4 linked regions of the Saccharomyces cerevisiae S288C genome follow. Changing the gene in region 3 together with the main gene of any one other region gives a genetic interaction. Each region holds a gene or a part of one and is shown on either strand. Other genes may lie near its edges.

Region 1 (7,871 bases), on a different chromosome or scaffold from region 3:
TTCTTTTAGAATTCTCGCATTCTCTTTAGGGCCGTATGAAGCACACTTCGACAACTCGTGTTCTTCTAAACCAAACATAGAAGGTTCTAATTGGAAGGTCTTCAATTTAAGTTCGGACGATGTCGGATCAATATGCCAGACAGTAGTTTTGCCTATAGGTGATACTTCGTCTAACCCAACATGTCCCCAAACTATAAAAGTTTCGCTTCCTGGATATACCAAAGCGGCTGCCTTGGCATATTCAGGCGCAAGTTCCTTTGAGTAAACGCCCAATATTCTCTTGTTTACGTGGCTAACTGGATGTAGAAGTGGTCCCAGTACGTTGAAAACAGTCGGAATTCCAAGAAATTTGCGTATCTTAGAAACGTGGCCCATTCCATGATGAAAAAAAGGAGCAAGTAGAAACATGAACGTATTATCAGGCCAAAGTTTGGGCACTGTCGATGAATTAACCTTGAACATGTCACAGCCTAAAGTTCCAATTAGGTCACCAGCTCCACTATTGGATGTAGAAGCTTTACCACCGTGCTTACAAATTTTTAGGCCCTGAATTCCGGAGGCAACGATAGCAGCAGACGTGGAAACATTAAAAGTATTCTGTCCGTCACCACCAGTACCTACAATATCTAAGATTACTGGTCCATCTTCCGGGTGTAATTCGTCCTTCTTGGGTAAAGGTAGATCAACAAGGTCGGAATGTCTGAGCACAGCCTTTGCAGCTTCCGCAATGTATTCAGCCTTGTGATCAAGTTTAGTAACTCTCAAGGCCGTGAGAAAACTCGAAACTTTGGTATAGATGGAAAGACTCTCATCGCTATTTGTATCACATTTTTGCAAAAGACTTAATATAACCAGCAACGCATCGTGTAGGTCTGTGCTACTCAATTGCGGCGGAGAAGCCAATAATTTCTTGGTGTAAGATAGCAAAGTCGCCTCGGACATGATAAGGGAATACTAAGTTTTCTTGTGATTATTGCAGTTTAAATTCACTTAGTTGTCAGTAGCTGTAATATCAGATGCTTTATTATAAAGTTTTCCAGAAGAATGAATGCAACAGAGTTTATGTTTACTGAATTGTCTGGTCATGAATCATTTTTTAGAGAGTCAATCTGCGTAGGTTTTTTTTTCCTTTTGGCAAAGACGACAAGAAAAATGCAGGTGGGGAAGCGCAGCAATAATATTAGTCATAACTTAATAGTCGGTGTATAGGCAACCACGCGTTACAAAGTAAGCCGATGGCCTATGTCATGTGTCTAAAAAGTTTAATTCAGACACGCAATATATGTAGATTATGTATTGGCTTTCTCTAATAATGGGGAAAAGAAATAAAATTCATGGTTTGCTTTTTATTAAAGAAAAGGAGAAAGTAACGATTTGTTGGATAAGTATACAAAAATTTGAGTGTATCTATTTTATAATGGAAAATTCATCTATTCTAGGGAAGTTAAGTATTTCTCAGCATCCAAAGCGGCCATACAACCAGAGCCAGCAGAAGTAATAGCTTGTCTGTATTTAGAATCCTGAACATCACCAGCAGCGAAAAATCCTGGAACGGAGGTTAATGAGCTGCCTGGGACAGTTTTAATGTAGCCCGCTTCATCAGTGTCGACTTGGCCAGCGACAATCTTTGTTGCTGGAGTGTGGCCAATTGCATAAAATAAACCGCTGACTGGCAAATCGGTTTCTTCATTCTTTTTAGTGTTCTTAATCCTCAAGGCATTCAATAATTTACCATCCCCCTTAGCTTCTAGCGCAACAGTGTTGTAAAGGATTTCAATTTTTTCGTTCTTCTCAGCACGCTTTTGCATAATGGTAGAAGCACGCAAATGGTCTTTTCTGACAAGCATAAACACTTTTGAGCCGTACTTGGTCAAGAACTGAGCTTCTTCACATGCAGAGTCACCACCACCAATGACGGCCAATGGCTTGTTTCTGAAAATGGGGACGGCACCATCACACACGGCACAGGCAGAAATACCTTTTTGCCAGTAGGTTTCCTCGCCCGGCAAATGCATTCTCTTAGCAGAAGCGCCTGTGGCCAAGATTATAGCGTCAGTCGTCACAGGTTCTGCGTCTTCGTTAAATTCGGTCCATAGCTTGAATGGTTTGGAAGACAGATCAACTTTGGAAACTGTTTCCGTGATAATTTCAGTGCCAAACTTCGTGGATTGTTCTCTCATTCTGTCCATCAGTTCGCTACCTGTTAGACCATCTGGGAAACCTGGGAAGTTTTCGATTTCTGTAGTGGTGGTTAGCTGGCCACCGGCAGCAATACCGTTCGCCATCATACCTTCATATAGGATTGGCTTGATTTCTGCCCTGGCCAAATAGATGGCGGCGGTGTGTGCAGCTGGACCTGAACCAATGATAGTAACTTTGTTGTGAACCATTATTGATAATATGATGTTTACTTTCGTACTGTTCGCTATTTGCTGTATAGCACTTGTAGGCAAGTATAACTGAACTACAGAAATTAATCTACAAGCTCTTGAAACCTCGAGCAGTTGGGTCCACTCTTATACGCGTGGGCATTTTTTCCTTTTTCGAGATACTTGCGGGCGATTTTTTTTCTCCATGACTAAGGAGAAGCTAACCCAGCCAAAACCCGCCCCCAAATGGCTAGGCAAAGTGAAAGATTATTAATCCAGAACAGAATGAAACACTTACTGCCGTACTGTATACTGAAGCGTTCACAGTGAATACATAATAACTTTCATTATTAATATTAGTGTGACAAACTATATGTGTTTGTAGCTGTTGCGAATGCAAACAAGACATAGACGGTTTTACGTAAAACTGGCGCTAACTATAGTTGGGTACTTTTACACAGAGTACGAACGTAGTATTCCTATTGGGAAAAAAGGGTCTCGCAAGGACTATCCCAAGAGCAGAGTGCATTGTTTAAATATAAATGGTAGTACTCCGTAGGGAAAACTATGTTTGCGTTTCACCAGACAACAGTGATGTACGTTCTGTCACTAGTTGCGCTGCACTGTCTTCTTCAGGACTGTATAGTTCTCTTTCCAGTTCACGTAGTTGCATATCAGTTGCATAAAGGATATAGTATTGGTAGAAGTATATCAAATCAAACGCAATTGTTCCAGCACTTCCAAATATAAAGGGCAACTCATTCACGATGAATTCCCTCTTGTTCTGATTATCTAAAAATCTACAGCTTGTGAAGATGCTCAAATTATACGTGATATTGCAGAGTAGTGTAGTAGCAAATAGGAAGGGAGATAAGCCGTCTGTAGACTTTCTATTGTAATTCTTGATTAGTTGTGGGATACGTGCGCCTACGTAGAAGGAAGCGCCAATCCAAGATAAAATTGTACCCAGCTGGCTGTTTTTACCATCTCCGGGAGGCCCCACTTGTGATTGGGTGGAGCCTACATTTAGCGGATATGCGCTAGCTGTACTTATAGTATGAGCTATAGCCAAGGCTGCTGTAATGGCAGACCTTCTTCTACTGCTTCTAGGGCTTTCTGCACTGCTACCACCTTGTATCATGTCCTCTTCCTCCCTCAAAAGCTCACCATTTTCAACCAGTTCGGGAAGAAGAGGTTTAGGCTCATGGCCGACAGTCGCCAATTTATTTTCATGCAGCACGCCATAGTAATAATATTGACCACATACAAAAGAATCATTCAATAGAAAATAAATTGCTAAAAGTATCTGAAATAACAATTGCCCTGTTAGCTTTGCCCCTATCAGCGAGGTAATATCCCCACATAACCAAGCCAGCAAAAAATATGGCGATAGCCCATCGACAGATTTATCTCGATAAGTCTCAATTATTTGTGGAAACAATGAAATAACAGAGGTGAAGAAGGATAATGATCCGCACAAATTAGATACAGTAGGCCAGATGCCGTTTGAGCACGACATGAAAAGATTCTTATTTTCACTTTATAATTTTTAGCACCGATAACAACGAACCTTATCGATTGATATCAATAGATACTGGCTTAAGGTAATGAAAAGATTGCTTCTTTATTTGTCTTTGTTGGAGACGAATATTAATGCCTGCAAAAAGTACTTGACGTTTATGTGCACGTTTACGTTTGTTTTTTTTTGATCCCTCCTCAAGCGAAGAGATATACTAAAAGATATACTTAGTGATAACACTGGTACCTATTGTCACTACAAATCACTGAGCGAAATCTTTTTTCTTCGCGAACAATTTCTTCCATGCTGCGAAATTTTGCAGCACGTAAGTGAATGCCGTAGAAGCTAGCAAAAAAAAATGGTGATGAAAAGGTTAATAACAAAACACAATAAGGGCATTAGTTCATTGTTTATTAAAAATATATTATTATATTAATCGAAAGTAATTTCTGTATGTATGCATTTATAAGTTTCAGAGTGAAAATGAACTTAAGAAGAGATAGTCTGGTCACCAAACTTTTAGTACGTGCCACATACACGCTAACGTAATTTTCGGTAGTAGTGCAACCACCACTTTGTGAAAATATTATTGAGGTTTTCCTCTTCGATACTATCCTCCGTATACAGTGGAATACAAAAATGCTTATCATCCAAATCTGATAAATGTTTCAGATTATCATATCCGAAGTGGTAGTTTAACAATACGTTAACTGTTAGTGAAACCAAAATCTTATAATTTACAATAACCTTCTTAGATCTATAGTATTCCCATACTTTGTCTTTGAATATTTCCATTTTTACGGGGTAGTTTGCAAAGTTTTGGCCATTATGAACGATAATTACATCCATTACCCACATAAAAAGTTTATGGTCCATTCTTTGCAATATGTTCCACCATGTATTGCTATTCAAACATCCGCCATTGAATTCATTTTTGAACTCATCTTTTCGTAAAAGATGGGCAACAATTCCTCTGGGATTTAATATTCTTGAATCGTATTTTTCCTTGCAAATTTCACTGAAGCACGTCATCTGTATCAAGTTGACCATTTCCCATGTTTCCTTCAAAGTCCCAAAAGATTGATCAGTTAAAAAATGGTAGAATAGCATCTCATCACCAGTAACCAAACCTTGTTGAGATATAGATTTCAGTTGCAGTAATAGCATCAAGTCAGAAACCACTTGCTTATCTGTTCCATTTTTATAAAAAACCTTTTCCTGTACATCGTGTTCAATAAGCTGTCTTATTTCAAATTCTTTATCTTTGGGAAAATCCATTTTGTTGAGTAGCTGCATTACTTCCTCAAATGATTCAATAAAACATTTTGTTATCAAGCAATTGTCACTTTGTAGAAGTTGACTATATATTTGAAGCCGTACTTTAGATATCAAAGGTGTTTCCCAAATAATTTTCTTTAATTCACTTAATGACGAGTTACGAGTAATGCCTCGGTCCAGTAAATGCTGGAATTTGACCTTATTCTGCTCATTCTTTTTGGCTTTTTCGTCACGTTCTTTATTTTTTTGCAACTCTTCCATTGATGCTAAGTCGATATTTTTGTAGATTTGTTTATCTTGCAATTTCCTCTCTTTGAAATCCTTGGGCGGGAGCCAACTCGGACGGAAATGACTTACGGCCTTTAGTTTGTCCTCTGAAACTAGCATTAGGTCTTCCATTCCCTGACTACTGGCTTCTTTAAATTCCAGTGGTAAACTCTGTACAGATCTTGAACGACCAGAAAGAATACTTTTGGAGATTTTTTCGGAACTATGCAGGTATATTTGGGAGAGATTTTTCATTGTATCCTGGATGTACTGTGAATCAGACACAGGAGATATACCAGGAATGCATGTTGGCGGAAGCTCCTTATAGTCCAGACATGATTCTTTTAAAGTGTTACTTGAATTTGATGTATGTTTTCTAGTACTATGAACCTGATGGAAAGTTTTGTCCACACAGAGAGCCGAAGATGAGTGTTGTTTGCCTTCGCAATTGTTCTCCTGTATTAATATCTCTTCATCCCCCCGCGCTGAATCTAAACTCATTTCTTTTCTATTAAACTTAGATAATGTTAAAAAAGAACTGGTCGATAAAGATGCCATTGGAATGTTCCAAATTAACGAGCCGTCGACATCGCCCTCTTGAAGTTCCAAGTTAACGTCTTGATCTTCATAAAATTTTTCTTTCATTTTTATGGCTTTACGCAAAGATTGGTCATTTTGCTCTTTCCTTAAACGGTAACGTTGAGAAGGAGTAAGTTGGGTTGTTTTATATGGTAATATTACAGAAGTACTATTGGAATGCACATACGGCGTTTTTGTGATCGGCATGAGTTTTGGTTCTTGGATAGTTGCGGTACTCATGCAATGATGTTTAAGAGGAGAGTCATTCTCGCTTATGAATGAAGTTTGTGATGCGGCTATACTGTTGGTTGTATTGCTCGATCCAGGCAGCCCTACTGTCCTGGAGAGTTTAGGAGTTGACACCGAATTTTGACGAGATGGAATGCATGTAGTTATGGTACTCATTGAGCAGATTGTTTTATCAGCGCTACTTGCTGTACGTGTTTTCTGTAGTATTGATCCCGGTCGGCTTTTCTTTAAGGGCGTAATATTGCTTCTATGGTCAGCTTCTCTCATACTTTTGAAGAAGCAGTTATCCTCCATCTTACTGTTTGCTATTTCACCCTCTTCTGAGCTTATATCTGATGTACATAAAGAATCAGATGTCGTATTTGAGTGCGATGAAGAAAATATCTCTGTGCTCGATGTACCTATAGAATCATCTGATATTGGCCTAATGCACTTCGCTGTGGGTACGTGTGGATTATTATTACCTAATACATTTTTAACAACATCTTGGCTAGCGAAATTGAAATCTAGGTTGGAGCTAGGGCGTCTTGTTCCAATATTCTTTCCGTTCGAACCTGTAGTGCTACTGGATGCACTACTGCCTGATCGGGATTTAGACAACGGAAGGCTGCAACTTTTGCGTTCGGTATATTCTGAAAGCATCAACTCCTTTGTGGAAAACTTCTTAGGTTGATTTTGTTTCAGATGCGTTGAGTCCTCCTCCTTTAAAGGGTCTAGCTTAGACGTATTAGGAACTATATTAATCAAACGACGTGCTGTCATACAATAAAATTGAATGTCACAGAAAGCTAAAGAGCTGAAGTAAAATAATGAAGCAAAGGTGGAAGCCCGAAAATAAAGTTAAAATTCAAAGCTTGTAACGAACGTATGAATGAAAGCACTAATTGAGAAAAAACTGAATTTTGTCAAAACAGCTCTATGTTTCAGAATGATAAAAAGGAGAGTTAAAAATACAATGGACAGTGGAATACAGCCAAATGCTCGATAGCTTTCGCAGAAACAGTACAATTAAAGATCAACACTTGTATTCTAATTATAGCAGGATCGATGTTACATCTCTTTTGCTCTCTAATCGGAGCTGAAAAAAAAAAAAAAAAGCGTATATAGTGATCTACGCTGATTAACATTATAGATTGCATAAAAGGGAAAAAGGAATTACATGAAGATCTATTCTGCGCGACACACTTTATTGGCGTACTGGCAAGAATGGGCTTTCAAATCTTCCAAGCGTTCACTTTAATGTTCTTATTGGCATGTTAAAATGTATATGCCGTGTCTATTCCCAGCCTTTGGCTCAAATGGTCACTTCACCGCTGTTTAAACATATGGGTAGCGCAGGGACATACACAATTCTACCTATTACAAATCTGCGCCATTTATCTACGAAAAACTGTCCATTGAAAATTAAATCAAATCGTTCAGAACCTTTGCAGTTTGGCGATTTTGAACGACAGGTGCCATGTTCTAGGAAGAGCGGATCTTCGAAAAATGTTCAGAAGCGTTTATACGAGCTCCGACAATTGAAAACTGTATTAAGTGAGACTTTTGGAGTAACTGAATACGCCTCTTTTTTTGAATCTCTACGAAATGCCCTGCATATAAATAATTGC
Region 2 (9,401 bases), on a different chromosome or scaffold from region 3:
TTGTGGTTTTGAGTTGGCATGTGTTAAATTGACATCAGGGCATTTCGATTCGTATGGAAGGCTGCTTGAAATATTCAACTCGGCATTTTGGCAGGAATTATTAACAGTGTGGTGATTAACGCCATGGGAAATTGAAGAATGGACGGATTGATTTTCGATATTATGATCATTAATGTTTTGGCAGGAAGAAGAAGAGGAAACGGAAGAATTAGAGGCTGGAGTACATGGATGCACATTCAATTGAGCGTTTTTCCATGCCTTAGTTTGCATTTGAGCTTGTAATCGGAGTTGCATGTTGATGTAAGCCTGATTCATTGTGGAATCGCCAGATGGGATAGAAGGCGTGGCAGAAGGAATGTCACAAGTGGCTGCTACTGCGGGTATGTTAAGCTTTATATTGCTATCATACGGGGTCATTGCAGCGTAGATATTCTTGCTACCTGTTTGAGGTGCAGCTTCGGGTATGACTGTAGCTTGTTCGTGTGGTTGTGGCACGTTTTGCAATTCGTTCGAGCTAAAGCTTGGGTATATGGCTGCGCTTGGATTTGCCACCTGTTGAGGATTGGGATTCTGTTGCGCCTTAGACGATAGGATCGGAGGCTGACAGTTGTAAAGATTTTCAACCGTTTCTAAGTCTTCGCCTAATTGACTAATCTGACCATTGGAGATAGATATGCGTCTTTTGTACACGGGCTGATCAAACGCTGGTAAAGAACTTTGAAAAATGGGAGGGTTGGTAATGGGAAGATGGCTGATGTCGACGCCAAAGGGTTGAAACATTGGACCCAGGTTTTCTTGCACGCTACGGTCATGCAAACTGTTTTGGTGATGAAAATTGTAGGCAGAATCCACAAGACCAGGACCCGATGGTTGTTTGTATATAAGCTCCTTGTTTGAAGATAGAAAATCTGTATATAAGAGTGGGTTCTGCCTTCCATCTAGGAAAGAATCTGGACTTGTAGCAAAATTATGCTTATAGTCCATACTTTATTTGGTTCCTTAGTCGTTACCTGGTGTTATTCCAGTACTATTAATATAACTCAGTACAATTAGCTGCCGTGAAAAAAAAAAAATAATAAGAATACAGTTTCTGCGCTTTTAGTCGGTAAGCACTCAGATTGAGAGATCTAGATTTACTATATTTTAATAATAACCAGTTAAAGCAGATTTTGAAGATGAACTAACATAAAAAAAATTGATGAATTATGTAACATAATCTTCTGTACCACCAGGGTAAATCGCCAAAGAATATCTGCATCTAAGAACAAAAGAAAATGGTGCCCTAAATATCTTTCAGATGAAAAACTAATTATATATCACTACTAAAAAAAGCCAGAAAAAGAAAAAAAGTAAAATAGAAAATAGAAAATAGAAAATAGAAAAATAGAAATTAAAATTAAGAGCATTTTAAAATTAAGTCTACAAAGTAATACTTGGCATATTGCTTAACTCCTCACGCAGAGCCTTAGCGTACCACTATTTTATCTGATACCACAAAAAGCTGCGCTTTGATGGCCCAACGGGGATATAATCGCGCCACTGCTACTCATGTGCTGCAAACTAACAGTGCCAGCAGAAGCGAGCATTGAAAAACTAAACTTTGCCTTGTTCTGCTTACTTCATGCAGAGGTACAGCTTCGATGTCCTAAGGTTGAACATCATCTTGCTTCGATTTCGGTAGTAATCATTTTGCCTGCACGCCATTGTATGAATCTCGTGCCACTCCCTTTTTAACTCCGAGATACAACTTTCCGTGGGGAAAAGTACCGTAGTATTGTAATTTCGAGAGCATCTTTACGGTAATTGCCCCTCCACACCCAGACGTTACACAACCCTTAGTAAACAGCTGCGGAAAAAAAGTGTGCCTACGCACTGTACGACTCCTGATTGATTCCTTCATTAGCACTGACTGGCTTACGGTGCACATAAGTTATTAAGAGCAGTTTAATTCAGTTGCTGAATAGTCACGTTGATGAGCACGAATACCTGAAACACCAACGGTAATGAATCAATTGGCCTAGCGCATCGTTGTGTGCTTGGGTGTGCCGCACAATGGCAACCAAATACTGCTCGTTCCTGCACTTCGAAAGAAAAGCAGCCAAAAGAAAACGCGTTTTCCTTTGCGAGCGCTGGTTTGTTCCTCAGTTTGATAGAGGCGTTCAATTGGCAATTTGGGCACTAACACCGATGATAACAAGATATCTTGACTTTGACCTCTGATATTGAGGCGTTCCAACCAATAAGAGGGGCTGACGGTTGAAAATAAGGGTAAAAGAGAGCTATTCGGGTTGGGTCGCAGATTAACTTAGAAAACATGTACATGCAAATGTTGTTTTTTACGTACAGAAAGAGGCTGATGGAACCAAAGGAAGCAATAATTTGCACCTTGATATTTTGCGCTTTCTGCTTTTGAAACCTTATTATATGCCTTTACATATACTGTCACGCGACATTTTCACCTTCTACAGTGTTTAATGAAAATCTGGCTTGTGTGCATTATCTTTTTTGTGAAAGTTTATCTCCGCTTAAACAAAGCGATTGAATCTTGTCTACGTAATTGGGCTCGTGGGACCAAAAGGCTACTATTTTCCAGGAAATTGAAGACTTTGCAATCGTAACAAGGTTTCTTTCATCGTTAAAATACAATCATACATAGAGATATATGGGCAAAAACCATTTCTTGAAGGATTTCTCTGCTTTACCGGAGGACGTACTCATAGAAAACGAGAGAGGCATAACTTTACTTGGTTACCCACTATTTTCTCCCAAGATTTTACTGCCTCACGTTGACCCACCACAATTTCAAAGACTAAACACTGAAAATGGCTCGTTAATTGCCCTGTCGAAAAATACTATATCGAACTTCATAGAACTGTATCCTATCGATCTGAGTACTGAACGCACTGCAGGCAGTAGCAGTTCACAGATGACAAAGTGGTTCGTACTGATGGATTACAAGGAAAAGTACGATATTGACGATCAAGGATGGTGTTATAGCTGGAATTTCAATAACTCTAGGTGGAAATCGAAAAATGGCTTGGTGAGAAGAAGGGTCTGGGTAAGACTACCTACGACCAGTCATGGATTAGATTAGTAATAGTTTACGCTAATATTAAATTGTTTAACAAACTAAGTAGTCAAAAAAAAGAAAAAAAAAAAAAAAAAAAAGAAAAGGTGACATTATGCAGAACATATTTTATCGATCCGCTTATGTGCACACAGTTTGTCCAGCTAGGCTAGAATATTATTTATTATTACCATTATTATTATATTATTATTATTATTATCATCATCATGAACCTGATGATCCGAATTGTGAAGCCCACTTTTCGTACTTCACTAATCCGTCCTGGGATACAGAGGGCTTGATATACACTAAACTGTTCTTAAAATCCACAAGGCCTATGGGTCTTATCATCTCCCTCTCTGTTTCTAATAACTTATCACCCAGATCTCGTAGTGGGCCCATGGCAGCATCCTTCGCTAAAGACGTTATATCACTTCCTGAATAGCCCTCAGTAATCTTTACCAGTTCATCAAAATCTGATTCGGTTAACGTGTGCTTTTGATGGGAAAGAAGCTTCTTAAATTGAACGTGTCTGGTCTGGTCCTCTGGTAATGGGATATATTGTCTTCTCACAAATCTTCTCCTTGCAGCCTCATCAATAGACCATGGTAAGTTTGTCGCGGCAAGTACCAGTACCCTTGTATCATCTTCGTCGCCATTGGTGTCAGAATTGTTAGTGTTACTTTTGTTTGAACCAGCCGCTGCGCTGGACAAGGATGACCACTGAACAAGAAATTCATTCTTTATCCTTCGGCTTGACTCATTTTCATTTTCGTTATTCCTACTACCCATGATAGAGTCAATTTCATCAACAAATATTATAGAAGGTGACAATTTTTTGGCAATTGCAAATAGTGCCCTCACTAATTTTTCACTTTCACCCAAGTATTTAGATGTCAAACTGGAAGCACTAATAGAGAAAAAGGTGGAGTGCGACTCTGTAGCTACAGCTCTCGCTAGCATTGTTTTACCTGTACCTGGTGGTCCAAATAAGAGCATCCCCCTGACTGGTTCACGTAACCCCCTGAATAAGTCTGGTCTCAAAAACGGATAGACAACTGCTTCCTTCAAAGAATATTTTGCACTTTCTAAACCAGCAATATCATCCCAATGAACTTCATCTCCGTGCACTACGATTTCGGCAAAAATTTGCTTTGCAGCTTGCCTATCTACACCTTGTAAACTATCAATAATTTCATCTTCTAAAATCTCCCTCAGGACTTTCTTGTCTATTTCAGGCTCTTCTCTTTGCTCATTTAGGGAAGTGGCATGTTCAGTGGCATCTTCTGTTCCAACATCTTCTATTTTTGGAGAACCGATTTTTTTTTGTGCTGGTATTTTTCGATTCGTTTTACTCATAGACGTGGTTTGATTTTTCGATGGCTTCTTATTCTGGGATGCACCATGCGAGTATGGTTTTGAGTTACTTACAGGTCTGGAAGGATGGCTACTCGTTTTCTTCGAACTGGAATTTGGGACTTTCGCCGTTTTGGATTTCAAAATGGGGTGACTCTTCTTCGTAGTGTTTAATGCGGGGTTACTCGCAACCTTTTTGCTGTTCAGAACTCTCTTAGCAGCCATTGCAGCCGTTTTGGGTTTTTGAATTACTGAATTTGGAACAGTCAGAGAAGAGGTCGGAGACGATGCATTGGATTTGATGATTGGTTTTGTATTACTTTTTGATCTTGTAATAAATGTTGGCGTTGATTTAGTGATAAGAGTGGGCGTTGATTTGGTACCCTTTAAGTATGGTACGTGATTATTCTTCATTAATTTTGATATTTGAGGATTCCTAATCTTTGATGAATCCATAGTAGTAGAAGTTTCTAAACTATGTGGCTTTAGAGCGCCAGTGCTGGACGCTCTATCGACATTTAATAAAGGAGGTGGAGGTAATGAAGGAAGAGCAGGGGCGGTAGTCGGCAGGGACTGTATGCATGATCCGGGAACATTTTCTGAAGAACTTACACTCTTATTACTGGACGTAGAAGAAGTAACAGACAAGTCAGACATTTGCTGTTGAATTGCTTCTAACGTTTTTATACGTCGTCTTTCCTCTTTTTCTTCTTCTTCTTCTTCTACGTCGACTTCGGAGAAATTATCATAGTAATCGGACACATCAAACTCGAAACCATCACTTTCTTCTTCATCAAAAACGTTGTGTCCTTTTAAAATGCCGACATCGTGATCATCCTCGTCATTAGTCAAATCTATCAATATTGGCTCTGAGATATATTTATCTGAGTACAGTTCAGTTTCCTTCTTAAGTGGAGGATCATTGTGCTCAATAGGGTTCTTGTGCTGTCTGCTTGCATTGTTGGATAAAGGCTTAGAAGGTACAAAATTTACTCTAATGTTCTCCGCATCTTCTCCGCGTTTTATCGATGTGCTGTTACCATATGATGATAGTGAGGGGTTGGAGTATGCGGTTTTATAGCCGCATGCATTTCTATTTCTTAATGTTTTCATCATTCTTCCGGGAACCATTTGGAATACAGGAGGTGGTTCAGTAGACCTTGTGAAAGATGAGCTATGATTAGTGTATGTTTTGGATGACGGCATATCATTCCTGGGAGCAGGCTCTTCTCGGACCAATTTTTTGACTCTTTTCAAATGCATAACGCTCTTGTGGTACAATTCTCGAATACCGTTCTGTAAACTAACTTCATCTTTCGTGTATGATTGAGTATTTGGGTAGTTATGCTCTATCAATGTCTGTTTGAATAGTACATCAGTGGTAAGCGCTTTCCATCCTTGCAATGCTTCTTTATATCGTTTTTTCTCTTCTAGGTTCAAGTAATATATTGTCTCATTGGCAATTCTACTGTAAAGTTCTGTAAAGTCGGTTAACGGTTGTTGAGGTCTTCTCCGTATCTTGGTTAATCTCGTTAAAATATGATGGCTTCTTTGTGAATCCATAGTGTCACAGTGCGATATAATCAATCCTGGTAAAACCGCACGAGTGAAAGGGAAAGAAAAATTGCGTTTGTTAGCTGCAATAAATGTAAAAAGACTATATTAAAAAAAGAACTGCAGCCTTTATTATTACCAATATATTTGATAAGAAAGTATATCGGACGCGTATTGTAGTTCTTGGGGAGCCGGTTGCTGTTGCTTCAGCCTCTTATGACCGTGAATCAAGAATTTTTATTATTCTTGATTTCAATTTTCTCCGCGAATCTCGGCTAAGATGCTTGGGTTGCCAGTGTTAATTCCATATATATACTGAATAATAGAAAATAAGTTAAAACATAAGTGCTGAAGACTTGAAAGGTTGGTGTGAGAAAACCCGTATGCCTGTGATATGTCTAGAATACATAGGGTTTTTTTTCTTCGCTTTGTAATTGATTGCGCTATATATGAAAAATATACATGAGGCGTTATTAACTTGCTGAGCTTATCTGGCCACAGTATGTTTTTTGTGTTCCTTCTCCTGCTCACCTAGGATTAGCTCTTCAAAAACTCTAGCTTCTTCAGCTTCTTCTGGTGACCTTCTAGCACTGGCAAACTTGTGGGCAATAAACAGCATTGCTTTTGCCTTTGCAATACGTTCCTTGGAAGGGACCTTTTTATCGTTTAGAATCTTATTGCAAACGTCTTTTAGTTTTCTTTCCAGTTCAAATTTCGACATAGCCCACATGACACCAAGTGCCTTACCAGCCATTGTGGACTCAAATTTGGCACGTTCATATTGGTCTAGTTCGTCAGTATTGACTTCACTCATTTTTTCCATGGCTTTTTGAGCTTCTAAGCCTGTAGACAATAAATTGTATGCTGATTTAACAGATCTAGCATTGTCGCGTGTACCAGTGAATATTTTAGAAATTCCGTAAGTCTTCTTGGACATGATAAAATTATTCGCTTTTGTCTTGTAAACCCTGGCCAATAAATACAATAACTCTAGACCAAAACTTTCTAATTTCAAATCCTCGATTTCTTGATCTAGTTTTCGCGTAAATTCCTCCAAGTTATTGGACTTCACAGCAATTAAGTACCTAGAGATTTTTTCGTTCAGTTTTTCTGCCAACTCGTCGACTTGTTTCATCATATCTTCCCGTCTTTTTTTCTCCATTTCCATTAGCTTCTCTCTTTGCTCCTTCGATAATTTATCTTTTTTCAAAGATTCAGCTTTATTAGTGTCATGCTTAACCATTCCACCATCAGTGCTCTCATCTGCTTTTTCGGTTTCAGTGGCTGCTGTACCCTCCTCATCTTCCTTTCCAAACATTTCTGTTGCCTCGTTTAGCTCTTTGAACAAAGAAAATTCTCCAATCCAATCTTTGAAGCCATCACCACCGAATATTGCTGTAAAGTATTCAGAAGCATCTTCAAATCCTTGCTGAGGAACAGCATCCTCCTTACCAAACTGGTCATACTTGGAACGAAGCCCTGGATCACTTAAGACTTGGTAGGCCTCGCCTACGGCTTGAAACTTTGCTTGAGCATCTGGGTCATCAGGATGCTTGTCCGGATGTGTTTCCATAGCCTTTCTACGATAGGCCTTTTTGATTTCAGTGGGCGTGGCCTCAGGCTTGATGCCCAAAATATCATAATACTCCGTCTCCTTTACCATATTCCCTCTTTTCTTTTCCTTTGAGTTAATACGTCTTAATTACGTGAAGCCGACAATTATCTAAGTTGCTCTTTTTACAGGCGTAAACCATTGGAAAGCAATGGTTACGGCTAACCGCGGATCCGACTATATCACCACTTTAACACTTTATCGTCCCTGTTTGTCCTTGGCAGTGTACATTCGCCATCAAATTTTCCGTTCTCCGCCCCATCTTGGTATGACGGGCGAAAACACCGCAGTGACGTTCCCAGGGTCTAAAACAATCCATAGGAGAACCACTTCGATTCACTGTCTTACTTCTCAAATACGAAATTTTTTGGATTAATCATCATTGTTTATTTCTGAAACGCTAACCGAAAGTCTTCATCATTTGATTTGACTCTAGCAGATATTCTCCAGGAAATGTTAGAATGTCCGGTAATTCCGTTTGCTATATTCTATTTGTTGATACTGATGAGCATCAAAAAATTATGTAATAAGGGTATCAATTCGCATTCTTATATTTAATACATACCCAGTTGTTTGTAGCTGGTTCATATTTAGCGGCAATTCTCTGTTGCGTAAATGAAAATATTAATGTAAACAAAAAAAGACCAAAACATTTTAGCAGTGTAAGAAGGTGTACTGATACAAAATGTGTTTAGAGTCTACTGATATGTTACTGACCGTTCGTTGGGAAAAAAATACTGTATCATTTATTAATCAAAAGCGACTTTTGGTGGAATATTATGATATGTGTTGTTAAAATATGACGTAATTTTAGAATTGTCTGATTCGTATTCAAATTTGGTGAAGGAATAACGCAGAGTTGACAATTTAATAGAATGGATTAATCGTAATTTTCAGAAACGTAGAAAAAGAAAAACAATTAAAACATTATATTAAGATTATTGATTTGCCTTTTAAGGGTCCATACTCCTGGGAGAGAACATTCAGGATAATATATATACCTGAGAAACTGGCGAGTAATTTGATAATTGTTCGGATTGCATTGTTGCCGAATCCTATAACATTAGGTATACATAGTATACAAGCAATTCTCCCGACGTTATAGGAATTCACAAAAGAGAATCGATGGTGTTACTTTATCTTCCTTCCCGTTATACTTTGTCTTTCATTATCCTATTAGATTACATTTCAGTTTCCATCAATTTTTGATGGCTGTCTCTCAATTTATATTATCTTCTTATACCGTATATGATGGTATACTAGTTTACAATATTAGACGATGGATGATGATTGGTTCTTATCATAATTTGATTTCGGCAGAAGCAATATTAGAGGTATTGTTGTAACGAAATTCCAATGTCATCTGCTTAGTATTATTAATGTTACCTGAATATTATCACATGCTGCTTAAAAATGTGTTATAAGTATTAAAATCTAGTGAAAGTTGAAATGTAATCTAATAGGATAATGAAACATATGAAACGGAATGAGGAATAATCGTTGTATCACTATGTAGAGATATCGATTTCATTTTGAGGATTCCTATATTCTTGGGGAGAACTTCTACTATATTCTGTATACATGATATAATAGCCTCTCCCAACAATGGAATGCCAACAATTATCGAATTATTCACCAGTTTCTCAGGTATACCTTGTATACCTAATATCTTGTATACCTGATATCATAATGTTCAATAACAGTAAAGTGCTAATAATTATGTATTTTTTTGCCGATTTTTCAATATTTCACCTGTTTATCGGTGTCAAAGTACTACGTTTAGTTTACTGTAGGGTTAGTTGATTTTTTTAC
Region 3 (6,762 bases):
GTGGCAGTGGCTGGACGCATAGCGCCTGCGATACATACTGGCTTCTCTGAATTTATGGTCAAATCTAAGAAGAAAGCTGTCTCCTCCATAGTGTCGGTCCCATGAGTGACAACCGCACCAGCGTAGTCATCAGAGGCTAGTGCCTCGGAGATACCGTGATACAATGGGATCAGATGCGTATAGTTTAAAGAATTTGAACCAACGTTAGACACTTGAAGATAGTCCAGATTTGCCTTCTCAGCTAAAGATGGGACGGCTTCTATTAAATCATTTACGGTTAATCCCACGCTATAACCCGCCGTTGTTGCACTTGTCGAACCCTTGGAAGCGATAGTACCGCCGGTACCAAAAATTTTGATTGATGGCAAAGAAGAATTCTTCTCTTCACGAATTTTTAGTAGTGGAGCACCACTGGACATTGCGACAAAGAGAGAAAGTAAAAGGGTATTTAAAGATCTCATAGTTGGAGGTTGGTGAGTACCAGATTGCTTACAAAAGAATAGCGAGCCAACATTTGCTCTGCCTCAGGCCTCTTGGTGCTGCTTGAAGACTCATCTTATATGGCTTTTGTATGTCATGATTTGTTCTTGTACATTATGTGTTGATATTAAACAAATTGATTTTTTTTTTTTTGCGATAGCAAGCAGATAATGAAAGAGACAAGGACTTGGAACATCCGATAAGACTGCGCCGATATCGATCTTACAGTCCTTCCCTTGTGTCATGACTTTCGGAAAAGCATCCTCGTCGACTGGTAGTTTGCTGTCTGTCACGTGCTGAAGGGTCTGATACATTTTTTTAAAGATAAGAGACGGGGTTTACCCTTCGGAGGACTAAGCGAGATCTCCAAGTAAAGATCTCGCTTATCAAGAAAGCAGCCAAGTGTGGAACGTCCTTTTTTTTGGTTTCAAAAAGATATTCAACAGTTTACACTGCAGCTTTAATTGCCTCAAAAGGATATCATGAGGTGATCTAGGGTCAGAAGGGAAAGATTACAGCATCTTGAGTTGAATCACATCTGCAAAAGGTGGTATTATTGACGTTGCTCTTCCTTAATGGAAACTCATGGGGTTTGGAAAGGAGGTGCGGTAATCTATTTTTTTCGAACACAAAACCTAACCTTGAAAAGAAACTGTCCAATTTCATTGAACTTACCTCAGAACGGGCCGGAGTCTTTGCTTTCAGTCTAACATGGTCTAATTTCTTCGAAAAGCTTCATTTAATTGTTAGACTGTGGTTTTACAAGGAAAAAACCAGTGCTATACTGAAGCGATACCCAGAACTAATTACCTTGTGTGACGATTCGGCTCAGCGAAACGGACATGGTAAAATTGGGAATTTGAAAGCAGGCAGCAGCCTTGTACAGCGACATGACGATAGGTTTAGAATCCCCATCACGTACGAGTTGAAGAATTCTACGAAGGCTCTATGCGTTATTCCTCTATCGGTATAAAGTGTAGCGTTGTAGGGGGGATATTGGTGGTTTAGTTGAATTTGCGCAACGAAATTATAGAACTCATAAAAGTTCAATTCAATACTTGAAACCCTTAACGTTGGTTCGACCATCAATTGTTTGGACATAATAGTTTTATTCTGCGGCCGATTTCAAAATTTAGTAAATCAAATGTTGAAGCATCACCAGTAGGATGACCACTCCCATGACAAAACTCCGTCCCAAAGATAGCTTGATCATCCTAAGCGGGTCGCATTTTACTATCCCCAGTTCCGAAGAATAACAAGGCTCAATGCATATGCTGTTTATCGTGCTCACAAGGCGGTATGACGTTTTTAGCAATGTAATTATATTAAAAAGATCTTCAGTCACTATGAGTGGTTGATTGCCCCATAGAGAGCTATAAGCCGACGTGAAAGCTGCTGGTTCCAGCTTGGCTCATGTCGTCACCAGTCACTAGTCACTTGGTCGCATTCATTGCTACTCATCTGCGAGTGAGCATATTTGAGATCTGACTTGCCAAGGGATTAGAATCACGTAAGACTCTTGATCCTTAGAAGATATTTCTGACAAAGAACCACCTAAGCCATGCAAGTTTTTTTTTTCATTTGGTGGCGAAACAAAGGTGATGAAAGTTTCTTCTTGTACAAACGCCAATCCCGATAGGTGAGACAATTCTTGAAGTAATGGACCTCTGAGTAAGCATATCAGTCGAATGAAGTTCCAATATGCGTTGGCCAAGGAACAGCTAGGCAGCAACTCGCGCAGTGGCGTCAAAAAACTAATAAGTAAACACCACTGGCTTCCGGAATACTATTTCTCTGATCTCTCATTTTCTGTTGTACAGCAGTGGGACAGTAGAGCCATTGAAAAAACTACAATCATATCTTGTATGCGGCCCGCAAACCAAGAGATTTATCCTTTGAGACATTGTGAGACCCTCCGTTCGCAACCGTGCTCTCTGTTTTCATCACTATATGCACGCTCTTTCCAAAGCTCCTGCACTTTGCACGTGGCGGAGCCATCGCCCGGCTTCCATATGTACGGCTGCCACACCTAACTATTTCGGTTGCGGCCATATCTACCAGAAAGCACCGTTTCCCGTCCGATCAACTGTAGTTAAGCTGGTAAGAGCCTGACCGAGTAGTGTAGTGGGTGACCATACGCGAAACTCAGGTGCTGCAGTTGTTTTTTTTTTCGCGCACGAATACATCACGCAGCCTCGCCTTGACACTGCTCAAGGGATAAGGGGAAGGAGCTGAGATAGAACTGAGTTGGAGCGTTGCAGCGGCACGAGCAGTGAAAAGAGCGAAGAGAAGAGAAGCAGATAAAAGACCAAAGTAGCGATGATACTTCGATGTTTGGAGCGATTTTTCCTATGTGAATATTAGAAATCATATGTTTTGTATCAGCTGAACAGTGAATGATGTGCTCAATACTCAAATTCATCTTTTTGTTTGCTAAAAATAGCTTAACTGGCACATCATGAAAAGGATGTAGAAATTATAGAGTATATTTACTACTAAGAACTATATAAAAACACAGTGTGATGAAAAGTCACTGATCAGGCTTTAACCACCGTAGACGCCAGAAAAAACAGACCTAATCTGATCCATGCCGTAGCCGGAGTACAAACATAATTGTAGCAAAATACGCGATTTTTGAGGGTTTAGGTAGCCAGATCCAATGGCGTACTCTGGGGCATCATCTGGAGGAACTGTACCATCTGCTGTTCTTCTGCTGTGAACAATTGGTATACCATACTCTTCATAAAGTTGTTCGTTTACAATACTACCCGTAGCAGTCCAGGAACCAGCTCCAGAACCCGCCAACACGATACCTTTTGCGCCCAGGTCCTTGACGGCCTTTACTATTAGCTCAGGATTCAAGCCTTGATAGGAGTACAGAATAATGACTTCTGGAATTTCCGAAGGGTCTGTGAGGTTGGAAATGTCAAAAAATTGCCATCCATTTGGCTTGACTGGTGGGTAGTAAAACTCCACGTCATCATTTGAAAAGTAACCTAAATATCCCTGTTCATCCGCTCTGAATGTATCTAAAGAGTTGGCATTCATTTTCGTTGTCCAAAACCCAGAGGCAATACGATCGTTTAGAGTGATCATCGTGCCACGACCCAGTGATTTCTCAGAAGCAGCAATAGACACTGCTTGATATAAATTCATTGGGCCATCAGCAGACGTGGCAGTGGCTGGACGCATAGCGCCTGCGATACATACTGGCTTCTCTGAATTTATGGTCAAATCTAAGAAGAAAGCTGTCTCCTCCATAGTGTCGGTCCCATGAGTGACAACCGCACCAGCGTAGTCATCAGAGGCTAGTGCCTCGGAGATACCGTGATACAATGGGATCAGATGCGTATAGTTTAAAGAATTTGAACCAACGTTAGACACTTGAAGATAGTCCAGATTTGCCTTCTCAGCTAAAGATGGGACGGCTTCTATTAAATCATTTACGGTTAATCCCACGCTATAACCCGCCGTTGTTGCACTTGTCGAACCCTTGGAAGCGATAGTACCGCCGGTACCAAAAATTTTGATTGATGGCAAAGAAGAATTCTTCTCTTCACGAATTTTTAGTAGTGGAGCACCACTGGACATTGCGACAAAGAGAGAAAGTAAAAGGGTATTTAAAGATCTCATAGTTGGAGGTTGGTGAGTACCAGATTGCTTACAAAAGAATAGCGAGCCAACATTTGCTCTGCCTCAGGCCTCTTGGTGCTGCTTGAAGACTCATCTTATATGGCTTTTGTATGTCATGATTTGTTCTTGTACATTATGTGTTGATATTAAACAAATTGATTTTTTTTTTTTTGCGATAGCAAGCAGATAATGAAAGAGACAAGGACTTGGAACATCCGATAAGACTGCGCCGATATCGATCTTACAGTCCTTCCCTTGTGTCATGACTTTCGGAAAAGCATCCTCGTCGACTGGTAGTTTGCTGTCTGTCACGTGCTGAAGGGTCTGATACATTTTTTTAAAGATAAGAGACGGGGTTTACCTTCGGAGGACTAAGCGAGATCTCCAAGTAAAGATCTCGCTTATCAAGAAAGCAGCCAAGTGTGGAACGTCCTTTTTTTTGGTTTCAAAAAGATATTCAACAGTTTACACTGCAGCTTTAATTGCCTCAAAAGGATATCATGAGGTGATCTAGGGTCAGAAGGGAAAGATTACAGCATCTTGAGTTGAATCACATCTGCAAAAGGTGGTATTATTGACGTTGCTCTTCCTTAATGGAAACTCATGGGGTTTGGAAAGGAGGTGCGGTAATCTATTTTTTTCGAACACAAAACCTAACCTTGAAAAGAAACTGTCCAATTTCATTGAACTTACCTCAGAACGGGCCGGAGTCTTTGCTTTCAGTCTAACATGGTCTAATTTCTTCGAAAAGCTTCATTTAATTGTTAGACTGTGGTTTTACAAGGAAAAAACCAGTGCTATACTGAAGCGATACCCAGAACTAATTACCTTGTGTGACGATTCGGCTCAGCGAAACGGACATGGTAAAATTGGGAATTTGAAAGCAGGCAGCAGCCTTGTACAGCGACATGACGATAGGTTTAGAATCCCCATCACGTACGAGTTGAAGAATTCTACGAAGGCTCTATGCGTTATTCCTCTATCGGTATAAAGTGTAGCGTTGTAGGGGGGATATTGGTGGTTTAGTTGAATTTGCGCAACGAAATTATAGAACTCATAAAAGTTCAATTCAATACTTGAAACCCTTAACGTTGGTTCGACCATCAATTGTTTGGACATAATAGTTTTATTCTGCGGCCGATTTCAAAATTTAGTAAATCAAATGTTGAAGCATCACCAGTAGGATGACCACTCCCATGACAAAACTCCGTCCCAAAGATAGCTTGATCATCCTAAGCGGGTCGCATTTTACTATCCCCAGTTCCGAAGAATAACAAGGCTCAATGCATATGCTGTTTATCGTGCTCACAAGGCGGTATGACGTTTTTAGCAATGTAATTATATTAAAAAGATCTTCAGTCACTATGAGTGGTTGATTGCCCCATAGAGAGCTATAAGCCGACGTGAAAGCTGCTGGTTCCAGCTTGGCTCATGTCGTCACCAGTCACTAGTCACTTGGTCGCATTCATTGCTACTCATCTGCGAGTGAGCATATTTGAGATCTGACTTGCCAAGGGATTAGAATCACGTAAGACTCTTGATCCTTAGAAGATATTTCTGACAAAGAACCACCTAAGCCATGCAAGTTTTTTTTTTCATTTGGTGGCGAAACAAAGGTGATGAAAGTTTCTTCTTGTACAAACGCCAAGCCCGATAGGTGAGACAATTCTTGAAGTAATGGACCTCTGAGTAAGCATATCAGTCGAATGAAGTTCCAATATGCGTTGGCCAAGGAACAGCTAGGCAGCAACTCGCGCAGTGGCGTCAAAAAACTAATAAGTAAACACCACTGGCTTCCGGAATACTATTTCTCTGATCTCTCATTTTCTGTTGTACAGCAGTGGGACAGTAGAGCCATTGAAAAAACTACAATCATATCTTGTATGCGGCCCGCAAACCAAGAGATTTATCCTTTGTGAGAAATGGGTGAATGTTGAGATAATTGTTGGGATTCCATTGTTGATAAAGGCTATAATATTAGGTATACAGAATATACTAGAAGTTCTCCTCGAGGATATAGGAATCCTCAAAATGGAATCTATATTTCTACATACTAATATTACGATTATTCCTCATTCCGTTTTATATGTTTATATTCATTGATCCTATTACATTATCAATCCTTGCGTTTCAGCTTCCACTAATTTAGATGACTATTTCTCATCATTTGCGTCATCTTCTAACACCGTATATGATAATATACTAGTAATGTAAATACTAGTTAGTAGATGATAGTTGATTTCTATTCCAACATACCACCCATAATGTAATAGATCTAATGAATCCATTTGTTAGTTAATAGTTTAAATGTTTTTATCGGAAGAGGTTTTGTCATCACATCAGCAATGTTCTTCTTGGTCTCGATGTAGTATACGTATAAATTATTACCTGATACTTCATCTCTAAGTCTCATTGCCTTTGTGCCAAAAAATCTGTTTCTAAATTTCTCTTCATTTGTAGACTTAATTATACTGATCGTTGATCTACTATCAGTAAGTAAGCCTTTAATAATTGGTTTCTTGTTAAGTTCTTGTATCAGGTAACTTAGATTATTTAATAATGGGACAGATTCACTTATCGCGTGTATTTCTGCTTCCGTAGTTGAAGTACATGTTAATGAAGCCTTGGTGGACTTTCCTCCAATTACCT
Region 4 (4,796 bases), on a different chromosome or scaffold from region 3:
TCTTCACCCCTCAATTCAATATCTCGTGGCAAGCTGAGGGCCGTAGTCTCGAGCTCTTCTCTCTGTTTCGCCAGGCTCACCTGTGCCGCCATCATCTGCTCTTCGAATGCTCTTTCACTGCTGATAGTAACCAGCGTATTATACGTAACAATGCCCATAAATGCGACAATATTAGTTGTGACAAACATCAAATTACCAGGCGCATTGAAGTATCTCCACAGTGTACGCAGATATGGGAATGTATCACCATTACAGCTCAGGAGAAGTCCGTTTGTCCTTGTGAAGTTTGTCACTGGTTTCTTCCTACTTCGAGAAAAATGCATATTCGTCTTAGAGTTTACGGAATAAAAACGCTTCCATAAAAGTCGCCATACTGTGCTAATACTCCTCTTCCCCTTTTTCAAATGCATCGTGTGTTTCCACGCCTGCTCGGGTGCCTTTGCTGTCTCCAAGCTACTGTTGTTATCCGTTTGTTTTATACTTTCCTTATTTTGTAATTTACTATTGGATGTATCTCCCCGCGTGAAGTCACTAGAACGGTTTAAAATAAAACTTTAATAAATTTATAAGCGTCAGCAAATACATATCAATAGAGAGCGTTTTCATTACATTGTTGTATTTTTATTCGATTGATTGTATATGTTTATATAAATGAATTAAATTGTTCTGATATTAACTGAAAATTACATTGCAAGCAACTGCCATGATGGCGAAGACCAACTTTCCTAATGGCAAACGCGTTTGCGATCCACTGCCCATATATTGGCTAATTGTTACCATTGATGAAGTTTGGTATTGTATGGAGATTGAAGTAGTGGAAACTTCTGTAGTGGTAACAGATGTTTGTAGAGAAGAGGGAGCAGATGATGATGAGAGGAAAATAGAAGATACCGTCGGAGTCAATGATGAAGATTCAATAGTCGATTCCACAGAGGTAGATGGTGTAGAGATAGATGTTGCGGAAAGTGATGATGTAGAGGCAGATATTGTAGCAATAGCTGTGGAAGAAGTGGGTTGTAAAATCTCTGATGTTGAAGAAATTTGAAGTGTGGTAACTGGTGACTGTTCGACACTTAGTGATGATACAGAACTGAATAGCAAAATAGTACTGTCAGAGGATAATGTAGCAGACAAGGAGGAGGATGAAAGGACCGATGTCGATAATAAGTGTGATGATTGTTCTTGAGATTCTGAGTCAATGCTTGATGTACTCGTGGCTTCACTTACACTAGTCGAAATGGTTGAGGTACCTGAAGATGTTACATGATACTTACCGGTAGCGTGCTTATTGAAATCTTCATCCGAAGTTGTCATTGAACTTACCCAACTCTTTGTGGATGTGGTCTGCTGTGTTACAGAACTTGATGAAGCTGTTTGCACGGAAGAATACGAGTGTGACGTTTCAGCACATGTGGAGCATGCATATGAGGATTCAACCGTTGAGGTGCTTACAGAAGTTGCGACGTTTTTAGTGGACATTTTTATAGAAGATGTAATCAAACTTGTTGTCTGCGAGGGCATGCAAGACTCGTGAGTGCAGACTGTAGCGTCTGTTGTAACCGTTTCATGCATACTGGTTAATGTGCTAGTCTCAGATTCAGAGCTATAAGGACACCATGTCGTATACATTGTAGTGACTCCACTAACAGTGGTGAAATATGTAGACATGGAAAATGATGGGATAGTAGTAGAAATTGAGGATTTGGTGATATATTCAGACGAACTTTGTGAACTAACAGTTGTTTCAACAGTTGAAGAAGTCATAGAAGGAGTTGCAACATTTGACGAAGTCGAAGGGACGGAGTAAACAGGTGTGGATGGGCTGTATAATGACACAGACGTTGATGAAGATGCTATAGAGGAGCCAAGGGATGAAGTTGAATCAGTAAAAGTAGAGCTAATAGATGTTGAACTTGGAGAAGTGGAAGCCAAAGTTGGAGATGAAGAAGTCAAACTTGGGGATGTAGATGTTGAATATGAAGAAGTGGAAGTGGAGCTTGCAGAAGTAGATTTAGAACTTGGAGATGTAGATGTTGAACTTGATGAGGTAGATGTAGAGCTTGGAGATGTAGATGTCGAACTTGATGAGGTAGATGTAGAACTTTGGGATGTAGATGTAGAACTTGAAGATGTGGATGTCAAACTTGAAGATGTGGATGTCGAACTTGGAGATGTAGATGTCGAACTTGATGAGGTAGATGTCGAACTTGATGAGGTAGATGTCGAACTTGATGAGGTAGATGTAGAGCTTGGAGATGTAGATGTAGAGCTTGGAGATGTAGATGTCGAACTTAGGGAGGTAGTAGTTGGATTGGACGATGTTGTACTCGAAAGTGTAGAGGTGACAGGTGAGATTATAGAGGCACTTGATGGTTCAATGGCGCTGGATGATACCACGGTTGTAGTTCCTACTTCGGATAATGAGCTGATAGCGGTTGTGTGACAAGTAGGGCAAATATATGAAGTGAACTTGGAAGTCACAGATAAGGTGGTGGTTGGCAACGTCGATGACGAAGGACATGCCTCATGGGAGCAGACTTCTGTAGATAATGTCAAAGTACTAAATCTGGATAGGGTAGTAGCGTACGATATTGAAGGACTTATTTCGGCAGCAGATGAAGTGGATACCGTCAATGGACACCAAGTCGTATACAATGTCGTAGTGCCAGCTTGAACGATAGTGGATGTGGAGACTAGCGCGGGTGAAACTGTAGTTGTAACAACCCCATTTGCATCGTTTGTCTTGGTTATCGTCACTAGAATCGTTTCTGGATCAGATGCCAAGGCAATATTAGTTAATCCCAACAATATTGTGAACAGGTAGGTAAAATGAGCGAAAGATAATGTCATCTGAAATTTTTTGGTTTTTTTAGCTTTTATTGTTAATGCTCGCCGTTTTTCAAAGATGAACGTAAATACTGGAAAAGTTCACGATAATTATTGATGATAGATCATTATTCTGCGCTTATATACGTTTTAATTGCTTGCTGGGAACTGCTTATTTGCGATAGTCGCTTGTTTTAAGTCATTACTATGTTTTAATATTGTTTCAGAAAATTATGTTACAGCCGCGTTTTGACTTGAAACGTGCAATATCCAAAAAGAGACTTTACAATTGAAAGCTAACCTAAAATTTGAGAAGATATGTGACAGGTACCCTAAATGTAGATTGGGTGGCTGCTGAGATCTTTAAGTATGAAACGGGTGGACGTACTTGTGCTAAGTGGTGCTGTTAGACAGCTACGAATAAGGAAATTCCGAAGCATGTAGGGAGGTCATGATATGAAAAAGCAAAAGAGTAGGCATCAAAAAGTTTCTCATTCAAGTGGTAACTGCTGTTAAAATTAAGATATTTATAAATTGAAGCTTGGTCGTTCCGACCAATACCGTAGGGAAACGTAAATTAGCTATTGTAAAAAAAGGAAAAGAAAAGAAAAGAAAAATGTTACATATCGAATTGATCTTATTCCTTTGGTAGACCAGTCTTTGCGTCAATCAAAGATTCGTTTGTTTCTTGTGGGCCTGAACCGACTTGAGTTAAAATCACTCTGGCAACATCCTTTTGCAACTCAAGATCCAATTCACGTGCAGTAAAGTTAGATGATTCAAATTGATGGTTGAAAGCCTCAAGCTGCTCAGTAGTAAATTTCTTGTCCCATCCAGGAACAGAGCCAAACAATTTATAGATAAATGCAAAGAGTTTCGACTCATTTTCAGCTAAGTAGTACAACACAGCATTTGGACCTGCATCAAACGTGTATGCAACGATTGTTTCTCCGTAAAACTGATTAATGGTGTGGCACCAACTGATGATACGCTTGGAAGTGTCATTCATGTAGAATATTGGAGGGAAAGAGTCCAAACATGTGGCATGGAAAGAGTTGGAATCCATCATTGTTTCCTTTGCAAAGGTGGCGAAATCTTTTTCAACAATGGCTTTACGCATGACTTCAAATCTCTTTGGTACGACATGTTCAATTCTTTCTTTAAATAGTTCGGAGGTTGCCACGGTCAATTGCATACCCTGAGTGGAACTCACATCCTTTTTAATATCGCTGACAACTAGGACACAAGCTTTCATCTGAGGCCAGTCAGAGCTGTCTGCGATTTGTACTGCCATGGAATCATGACCATCTTCAGCTTTTCCCATTTCCCAGGCCACGTATCCGCCAAACAACGATCTACAAGCTGAACCAGACCCCTTTCTTGCTATTCTAGATATTTCTGAAGTTGACTGTGGTAATTGGTATAACTTAGCAATTGCAGAGACCAATGCAGCAAAGCCAGCAGCGGAGGAAGCTAAACCAGCTGCTGTAGGAAAGTTATTTTCGGAGACAATGTGGAGTTTCCATTGAGATAATGTGGGCAATGAGGCGTCCTTCGATTCCATTTCCTTTCTTAATTGGCGTAGGTCGCGCAGACAATTTTGAGTTCTTTCATTGTCGATGCTGTGTGGTTCTCCATTTAACCACAAAGTGTCGCGTTCAAACTCAGGTGCAGTAGCCGCAGAGGTCAACGTTCTGAGGTCATCTTGCGATAAAGTCACTGATATGGACGAATTGGTGGGCAGATTCAACTTCGTGTCCCTTTTCCCCCAATACTTAAGGGTTGCGATGTTGACGGGTGCGGTAACGGATGCTGTGTAAACGGTCATTGTGCTGGTGCTCACTGTCTGGGAATTTTCAATCTTGCATCACCATTACCAGCACGATGGATGCTCTTTATATATCAATCTTCGAGAAAAGGCTAAACGAGCCATTTCGGCGATTTCGGCATCGTGGAAAAGTTTCACAAGA

Evidence for each region.
Region 1: mutations in YLR156C-A (region 3) and YPQ2 together harm fitness less than expected from each alone (positive genetic interaction), as found in Saccharomyces cerevisiae (one large-scale study listed by BioGRID).
Region 2: mutations in YLR156C-A (region 3) and SAP1 together harm fitness more than expected from each alone (negative genetic interaction), as found in Saccharomyces cerevisiae (one large-scale study listed by BioGRID).
Region 4: mutations in YLR156C-A (region 3) and AGA1 together harm fitness more than expected from each alone (negative genetic interaction), as found in Saccharomyces cerevisiae (one large-scale study listed by BioGRID).

What each region holds. Positions count from the first base shown.
Region 1 is NC_001136.10:1,177,818-1,185,688, reverse strand, and holds YPQ2 (Ypq2p), read right to left. Parts: upstream 3,889-7,871; coding exon 2,935-3,888; downstream 1-2,934. Other genes in the region: TRP4 (anthranilate phosphoribosyltransferase), read right to left, coding at 1-942; thioredoxin-disulfide reductase TRR1, read right to left, coding at 1,431-2,390; SBE2 (Sbe2p), read right to left, coding at 4,429-7,023; ATP22 (Atp22p), read left to right, coding at 7,515-7,871. UniProt on the Saccharomyces cerevisiae protein: Amino acid transporter that moves arginine across the vacuolar membrane. Active during nitrogen starvation when it exports stored vacuolar arginine to the cytosol, for use as a nitrogen source.
Region 2 is NC_001137.3:240,518-249,918, forward strand, and holds SAP1 (putative AAA family ATPase SAP1), read right to left. Parts: upstream 5,987-9,401; coding exon 3,293-5,986; downstream 1-3,292. Other genes in the region: ACA1 (Aca1p), read right to left, coding at 1-984; SPO73 (Spo73p), read left to right, coding at 2,663-3,094; CAJ1 (Caj1p), read right to left, coding at 6,465-7,640.
Region 3 is NC_001144.5:469,945-476,706, forward strand, and holds YLR156C-A (uncharacterized protein), read right to left. Parts: upstream 2,667-6,762; coding exon 2,535-2,666; downstream 1-2,534. Other genes in the region: asparaginase ASP3-1, read right to left, coding at 1-461; YLR156W (uncharacterized protein), read left to right, coding at 2,169-2,513; asparaginase ASP3-2, read right to left, coding at 3,025-4,113; YLR157W-D (uncharacterized protein), read left to right, coding at 5,820-6,032.
Region 4 is NC_001146.8:701,753-706,548, reverse strand, and holds AGA1 (Aga1p), read right to left. Parts: upstream 2,851-4,796; coding exon 673-2,850; downstream 1-672. Other genes in the region: PET494 (Pet494p), read right to left, coding at 1-410; diphosphomevalonate decarboxylase MVD1, read right to left, coding at 3,464-4,654. UniProt on the Saccharomyces cerevisiae protein: Cell wall anchoring subunit of the a-agglutinin heterodimer.